Danio rerio: one gene and its partner. Each later gene encodes a partner of the first gene's protein in a complex. Links are inferred from orthologs where the notes say so. Each region holds a gene or a part of one and is shown on either strand. Other genes may lie near its edges.

Region 1 (3,827 bases):
CAGTCCTGCAGACAGTGAAGCATACTGCAGTGTTGGAAGGGGTGGCCAGCTTTCCGTCACAAAAAATAAGGAAGCGTAGTAGGAAAAAGGGCTCCTCTACCACAATGGCTCCAGCCCCAGAGCGCCCGCCAATGTCTGCTCCAGCCCCAGAGCACCTGCCAGTGTCGGCTCCAGCCCCAGAGCACCTGCCAGTGTCTGCACCAGCCCCAAAGAGGCTATCTTTATGAATTCCCTCATTGGCTGCATGTTCTAGTCTCATTTTATGTGAGCACATGGCTTGTGTTGTCTCTTTGTGTCAGGTGCTCTCCCGTCTATTGTCTAGTCCCACCCTCCTCGTTAACCCATTATTAGTTTATTAGATTCAACTGTTTAACACCTGTTTGTTCACCTGTGTTAATTTACTTCTGCTTATATTCTCCTCATGTCTGCTGTTCTGTGCCAGTTCTTTCTTGCATGTTGCCTTGTTCCAGTATTGAGTGTTCCAGTTCTGATACCTGCCAGCCTTTCCATCCTAGTTTTTTTTTTTTATTGGTTATTAGTTTTATTAATGTTTCCCCTTCTGGGTTGTTATTTTGCTGTCATGTTTTATTTTAAAATAAATAATTTCGTCTGCAATTGGGTCCTCACTCCCTCATCCTTCCCAAACCATGACAATAGGTGCTTTGCATGACAAAAAAGGACACCGCATTCCAGAAGAAGAACTTGCTCCCTACTGTAAAATATGGTGGAGGGTCCATAATAGTCTGTGGATGTGTGGCAAGCACAGGTACTGGAAACTTTGTCAAAGTTAAAGGTTGCATGGATTCCACCCAGTATCAGCCGATTCTGGATGTTCAAGAATCAGTCAAAAGTTACAACAGGGTTGGATGTTTCAGCAGGAAAATGACCCAAAGCACAGTTCCAGATCTACCAAGGACTTCATGCTCAGACACAATATACTGTTCTAGAATGGCAATCCCAGTTTCCAGATTTAAGCGTAATCGGAAATCTATAGATTGATTTGAAAAGGGCCGTTCATGCTCGGCACCCATCAAACCTGGTTGAACTGAAGTTATTTTTGCAAGAAAGAATGGTCCAAGATACCTTCAGCAAGAATTCAGGGACGTATCCTTGACTATAAGAAACATCTACAGGCTGTTATTTCTGCAAAAGGTGGCTGTTCAAAAGATTGATGTCATTATTTTGTTGGGGTGCGAAATTTTTTTGCACCTGTCTGTCTTTGTTAATAGTTAAATTGCATTGCATCTGTTGATTGAATTAATGTTATGTCAGAACTGAAATGCTGCTTTTTTTTCTAGGATATAAATATATCCAAATGAAACTGCTGATTTGAAAGGCCAGCAGACTATAGCTTGCAATTATGAAAATTATCAGGGGTGGCCAAAATTTTGCATAATACTGTATACCCTATTTTACATCTAGGGAGGAAGAAGGTCGTCGCCAGATTAAAAAACTGCAAAAGCAGTTACTTGACATTCGCAAAGAAAAAACAGAGGAGTGTGAGGTAATCTAATGGACTTGAACACATATATGCTTTTAAAAATGAAAATAATGTGACAATAAGACATTATAATTGACCTAACGACAAACTAGCTAACTTTTTTGTTTGCTTTTTTGTTTGTTAGCTCTAAATTTTTTGCATATTTCTTAAAGAAAATACTACTTTCTTCCCAGAGGCTTGAGGAAGAGGTGGCCATCCTAAAAGACCAGGTACAGGACATGAGGGTGAGGACAAACCAACAAGGGAAATTTGTGAAGAGCTGTGCTGAACAGCTGGTCTACCAGGAATCAAAGCACAACAGTTACAAAGAGAATGAACTAGAAGATGAAGTTAAGGTATGTGATTCGCTTGTTCTGCCTTGCTTCATAATTTTGTGTCCCACAAACCACCCAGTGCTCTGCAGTACCTCATTGTCAGTGCCCTAGAGACCACCCAAAATATTTAGCAACCACTGAAACACAAAGGAACTTTGGGCAAAGTCTTCACACTATCGACATGTCAAATTGTGTGTCAGAGCAGATAAAACTTACAAGGCTTTTTACTAGGCTATGCATCAAGACATTTTGAAAAATAAAGTATATTTGCATCGTTGAAACACAAAAACAGATACAGCTTTATTACTCACCCTCATTTCATGTCAACTCCCTAAGATTTTCAATCATCTTTGAAATACAAATTAAGTTATTCTAGATTAAGGGTGCTTCCACACCTGTGGATCGATCCTTTTGTTCCGAAACCGGGATTAAAATTGTTACAATGTTGCACTTTGTTCTTGATGTGATTCATTTTCACATGGTAAAGTTTCTAAACGGACCAAAATAGTTTAAACAAGTCATGTGCAATTAAACTCTCCTCACATTGGTCAGAGTTTCATGGTTTATTTTGAAGAGTCTCGCTCAGCTGTCATGCGTCCTTATTTTAATTTATGGCAATGAGCAAAAAGACATTTTAAGCAAAAAGCTGCACATTAATTTTTAATTTAGACACCTACAGACATTGTCACCAGATATAAAACAGATGTAAGACTGTCCCATACATACCAGTGGGCTTATACATTATATGCTTTACATTATAGAGAGAAATAACAGATGACAGATTTTTCATAACGGATAAACAGCTCACCCTAATTGCTAGTTAACATGCTTTCACTTTCAAATTTTATATGAAACCGGTAGGAATGATATCCCGTCCTACTCATAATTCTCTCTTCATATAGCTAAATATGGCTATTACACAACCATAATACACTGTGATATAGCCTGGTTTAGATCTAATTGATTTCTTACTACAATCAATTTGCTCCAGAGTTCGTTTCAATCGAGCCGAGACCACCTCATTCAGGCGATCGATGTGTGATAGCTGGATTCACATACTGTATGATAAATGAACCACATTAACTGGGAAAATGCACCAGGATCTGAAACAAAAATCTAGGTGTGGAAGCATACTAAATCTTAATGGTACCAAAACATTCTTTAAACAGTCGATGTATCTTTAATTGTATAATGAGAATATTTCCAGATAAACAAATAATAACTTAATTCAAAAGATTATTTTCTTCAGTGTCAGTATAGGGCTCACTGTTATATATCTTGCTTCTCTGACATATTACCTTGCCTGTGTTTTTTGTTAGAGGAGATTACATTAGTACACAGTGCTCATAAAAATGTGCTCAATATACTGACAATCTGGAGAAGAAACTGTTGAATTAGAATATTATGTGCGCTCAAATGTATTCCTGTAGCTTGATAATGTTCCGATTGTACCTCTGATGGCATATATCTTGTGTTTGATGTAGTTTGGTTATTTTCTAGACTTTGAATAAGCCTATTTTGCTGTCAATATAGAATGAGATGTCGGAGGGAGGTATCTGGGGTTTGCAATGACATGAGTGTGAGTAATTAAGATCATAATGTTAATGTTTGGGAGAACTAACACTTTTTAAACTATGGAATTTTGAGTAGATATCGCTATATACAGTATTTTTGTTTTTGATACAGTTTATCAAGTTTCATGAATTCAGAATTTGCCTATGCAGTATTACCAGTAATCCCGGCATGCACACATATTGTAAAATGCACATATACCATAACATTGTAATTTATTAATTCCACTTTTGGTTGTGCACTCAGATGCTTCAAGAGAAAATTGAGGAGGAAAAGAATGTCCACTTTGAAACAGAGGCCTTCCTAAAACAACAACATGCAGTGAGTTAAGTATAGCTTTTATTCTTATTTATTCATCCGTTCATTTTCTTTTCGGCTTAGTTCCTTTATTAAGGTCATCCTTTATTAAGGTCATCACAGTGAAATGAACCACAACCCAT
Region 2 (4,618 bases), on another chromosome or scaffold:
TGTGCTGTAGTTCCTTGCGGTTTGCGTACATAAACGCAATATCGCGAAGAACATTACGTGTTTGTTGCTCGAAATGTGCCGCCGAGCAACATCCAGTGAATACTGGCACGGCCTGGCGCCCGGTCTTCTCGTGCACTCCCTGGGGCGAGGCGGCCTTTGAGCCCTAGGCAGGGAGCAAACAACCACCGAGGACCCTCAGGGAAACACGGGGGGCCGGTAGTGGGACCTCGCTGCGAGGGTTATGGTGGGTGGGAGTAGCGAGGCCCACTCATCTTCTATTTTAAACCATAGTTTCAAACTTTAGTTTACTATATAGTTTGAAATAGAAACCATGGTAACTGTTATGATTTAACTTTATGCAAAGAGCTTACAATGACCAAGAGCAACAGACCCGGATTCCGCCATTTTGAAGTGATAGCGATCGCTCGTCATTGCTGTCGCGATGGAAAGCAGCTGCTTTGTTTTTATTTAATTTATTCAAAAAGCGCGTTATTGTTTCCCAAATTGTAGATTGTCGCCTCATGGTAATTCTATGCTCTTCTGTGTCTGACTGTTGTGATGTTTTGCTTTGTTTTTCAGCTGAGATTTTGAGCAAAGAAGGACTATTGAAGACAACAGTTGAAGACAACCGCGGGTTATAATCACGAGCGCGCGCATTATAATGTTTTCGGGCTGTTTTCTGAAAGTGTGTCTTTGTTTAGATAAGTTTGCATGTCAAACTAAATAAACTATACTCTTTCTAAACACCTGTCTCGTTTTATTTGTCCTCTACAGCAATGCACTGTCATATAGGTCTGTTGAATGCATTTGTATGCAACATGGTTTGACAATACAGTAGTCTAACAAATAAATAGTTGTTATAAATGTACCTTCATTAGTCAACATTTGATGTTATGTTATGATTGTTATACTATATTTATTATTATTAATATGCTGTATGTTTAAAACCAGCAAATTATACTATATATTTAACATGTCATAAACTTACTGTTATTTTAACATTTGCCAAATAAAATGTCCTAAGACAAGAATGGGTGTTGTTTTGGTTTTGTGTCAACCTACTGTAGGTTTTAGGTTGACTACAGCAAGGCTACATACATCATAGGGAGTTTTTTTATAACGGAATAAATATTTCACGGAGATGATTTTACTGCGTGAGAAAACTGATGTGTGGCGTGAGAGCGTGAGAATACGGTCAATTGCGTGACTTTCACGCATTTTGGCAACTCTGAAATATTAGTGTTTGGACTATGTGATTATTTATTACTATAGCAGGTACTATTTAGCCTATATATTCTCCTGGATTGTATAAGTGCTTCTGATTTTTATTTAACACTGACATATTTATACACATAGGTAATTTAGACATGTACTCTTTATTGGTGCTTTCAAACGAATAATCGCGTTCATGCTTGTACAAAGGATGTATAAAAATGTTCCTTACATTCTTCCTTTTCTTCTGTTTTTTTAGTCAGTACTGAACTTTCCCCTTTTGTGAGCAAAAACTTTTGCTAGTCTATAAAAGATGTTCGGCATTTCTTATTTTGGTCGATTTAAACAATCATAAACAGCATAAACAGAAACATTTTTTTAAACTTCTGAAAGCGGTTCCTACGTAGAAGAACCACTTCCTGCCCTCCGTCTGAATGGCGAGTGTGTTCAGGTTACCTAGCAACCAGGGTTTTAGACATGGCGGACAAGTATAATGCAGGTAAAGATGCTACACGTAAAATGCTACGCTTTTTTTACGTTTGTGGGCTTACTGTATGCTTATTAATGGTGTTTGTATTCTCAGCATGACGTGTTTTTAAATACAGTTGCCATTACTACGACTGTTACCAGATCAATGATGTTTGAAAAGTTTTCAGTAACGTTGTTTGTTAACGTCGAGTAGTTAAAGTAACAGTAAAAGACCACACAGACAGCGAACATCTACAGCTGAATTGCTTTGTAAACACACACACACAAAATAAAATAAAAATGCGGAAAAACACAACGTTAATTAATGTATTTTTTATCAGAAAATATTATAATAGAAACTCAAAAGAGGATTGGGAATGCCTTTGATGTATTTGACCATGAATCCAACAAGACTGTTGATGTCAGGTAACGTTTCACTACGCTGTTTTTCAAAATATATTAGACCATTTGTTGATGTCTGTTAGCTTTGTTCTGCACATGTTCTACAAACAAGGAAGACTTCTTTAATGTTATCTGTCATTTTTCACCGTAAAAGGGAAATAGGCACCATCATTCGTTCACTTGGCTGTTTTCCTTCAGAAGCTGAATTGCATGATATCATCTCTGAGGTCAGTGGTTTTGTTTTGCCGGGTCATAAAATGCATCGCTCTTGTAAGTTGAGTAGATCAATAGTTATGAAGTGTCATTTCATTCACAGCTAGAAGAAGAAGAACCCACTGGATTTGTGCGCTATGAGAAGTTTCTTCCAACTATGACTAAGATCCTGCTGGAGCGCAAGTAAGACTGTAATGAAATAAAACAGTATGAAACCCAGATTATTCTTAATGTTTTTAAAAGGTCACAGACTGATAAATCACACAAATGCATCTATATATTTATATACAGTCTAACTCAAAATTATTAGCTGTCCTGTAAATAATTTTTTCTTACTCAGTTATTTTTAAATTGATATTCAACAGAGCAAGGATTTTTTTTTTCTTCTAGCAAAAGTCTTATTTGTTTTATTTTGGCTAAAATAATGGTCTTTAATAAAAAAAAAACATTTTAAGGTCAATATTATTAGCCCCCTTTAGCAATATTTATTTTCGATTATCTAGAAAACAAACCATTATTATACAATGACTTGCCTAAATACCCTAACCTGCCTAATTACCTTAATTAATGTAGTTAAGCCTTTAAATGTCACGTTAAGTTGAATACTAGTATGTTGAAAATCATCATCATGGCAAAGATAAAATAAATCAGTTTGATGTGTCAAATGAGTTATTATAACTATTATGTTTAGAAATGTGTTGAAAAAATTCTTTTCGTTACAGAAATTGGGGAAAACATTTACAACGGGGCTAATAGTTCAGGAGGGCTAATTATTCTGATTTCAACTGTACATGGATATATAGTGCTAGAAGATGAAGCCAAAATGTCCAAGGTATCAACTTGCACGGATCGTATAATTCCCACAGTTCCTACACACCCAATTGCAAGCACATAATGGCATGCATCCAAATAAAAGCAAACTTATTAAAAAATGTTCCGTATATACATCAACAATTGATGTAACGAGAAAACAAGGCGACACAGTGGCGCAGTGGGTAGCACTGTCAGCAAGAAGGTCATTGTTTAAAGCTCTGGCTGGGTCAGTTGGCATTTTTGTGTGGAGTTTGCATGTTTTCCCTGTATTGGCGTGGGTTTCCTCCTAGTGCTCCGGTTTCCCGCACAGTCCGAAGACATGTGGTATAGGTGAATTGAATGAACTAAATTGGCCGTAGTGTATGTGTGTGAATGAGTGTGTGTGGATGTTTCTCAGCACTGGGTTGCAGCTGGAAGGGCATCCGCTGCATTAAACACATCCTGGATAAGTTGGCGGTTCATTCTGCTGTGGCGATAAAAAATAAAGGGACTTAGCCGAAAAGAATGAATAAATAAGAAAACATTAATTAAACGCTTACCTTCTCTTCGATAACATTGAGGGAGCAGGGCTTTTTAAAATGTTCTGCAATCAATGACCAGAGAGCAATGGAAATATTTGGATTTCCCTTTTTCTATATTTGGCCTGTGTGAGCCAAAATCTCACTAATAAAATGTGTTGTCGTGTCTAAAGCAGACAAATGTTTTGCCTCTACATGTAGATGTGCTGGGGGTGGATTTAAACAATATGCAAGTTAATCGGCCGCTCAGGGCCCCAGTTAATCTGAGGGCTCCCAAATAAATACCTAGAATTATAAATTATACATATAAATATTATATATAACATTGCTTTCTATCATATTTTCCCCTACCTTCAATCATGGACCAGTTCAGCTGTCAAATCAGTAAAGATTTAGTTTTAAAAAACGAAATTGTTTATTTATAGTGAATTTATCTTAAGAAAACAAATGATTTAAAAAGTTTTATAAGGTGCTTTACATGTTATTATTATTTTGCATTAAGATAAAATGTAGAAAAGGAGATTGATTGATATAAGAAATAACAGCAAAATAATAATAAAAAAATTAAAGTACAAAAGGTGCCTTTTAGAACTTTTGGGTCTAATGGCTGGAACAGCTTAGGGCCCCAAAATCACTAAATCCATCCCTGAGACGTACAGTATATGACTATAAGTGTTTTAACATAATTTGCAGTACCTGTAAAAACTTAAAACTAAAATAAAATAAACATTTGATTAAATAAATATTTACTTTGCTAAAGTTTTTCCCACAATAAAATTTAATACAAAGCCTAGTATTAGTGATAATTGTAGCTCTGCTTCTTTCTTTTTTCTTGCAGGTTTCGTCCTATTACAGAAGACCTGCTCATACAGGCTTTTGAGGTGAGGCTGTTTTGTTTTTTAATTTTTAATGTGTGAATTTACCTTGTTAACATGTGAAACTTTTAGCAGTGTCAAAGACACTATGCAAGACACCTAAGACCAGTGCATTGA

What was found.
Region 2: drc9 (region 1) and drc8 share a complex: the UniProt entries of both Homo sapiens proteins name them as parts of the nexin-dynein regulatory complex. The link is inferred for Danio rerio from reciprocal best matches to the Homo sapiens genes DRC9 and DRC8.

Annotation. Positions count from the first base shown.
Region 1 is NC_133193.1:29,295,489-29,299,315, reverse strand, and holds part of drc9 (dynein regulatory complex protein 9), read left to right. Parts: intron 1-1,422; coding exon 1,423-1,504; intron 1,505-1,674; coding exon 1,675-1,836; intron 1,837-3,633; coding exon 3,634-3,708; intron 3,709-3,827. UniProt on the Homo sapiens protein: Component of the nexin-dynein regulatory complex (N-DRC), a key regulator of ciliary/flagellar motility which maintains the alignment and integrity of the distal axoneme and regulates microtubule sliding in motile axonemes.
Region 2 is NC_133192.1:12,696,470-12,701,087, forward strand, and holds the start of drc8 (dynein regulatory complex protein 8), read left to right. Parts: upstream 1-1,673; 5' UTR 1,674-1,689; coding exon 1,690-1,711; intron 1,712-2,021; coding exon 2,022-2,106; intron 2,107-2,236; coding exon 2,237-2,309; intron 2,310-2,398; coding exon 2,399-2,478; intron 2,479-4,464; coding exon 4,465-4,507; intron 4,508-4,618. UniProt on the Homo sapiens protein: Component of the nexin-dynein regulatory complex (N-DRC), a key regulator of ciliary/flagellar motility which maintains the alignment and integrity of the distal axoneme and regulates microtubule sliding in motile axonemes.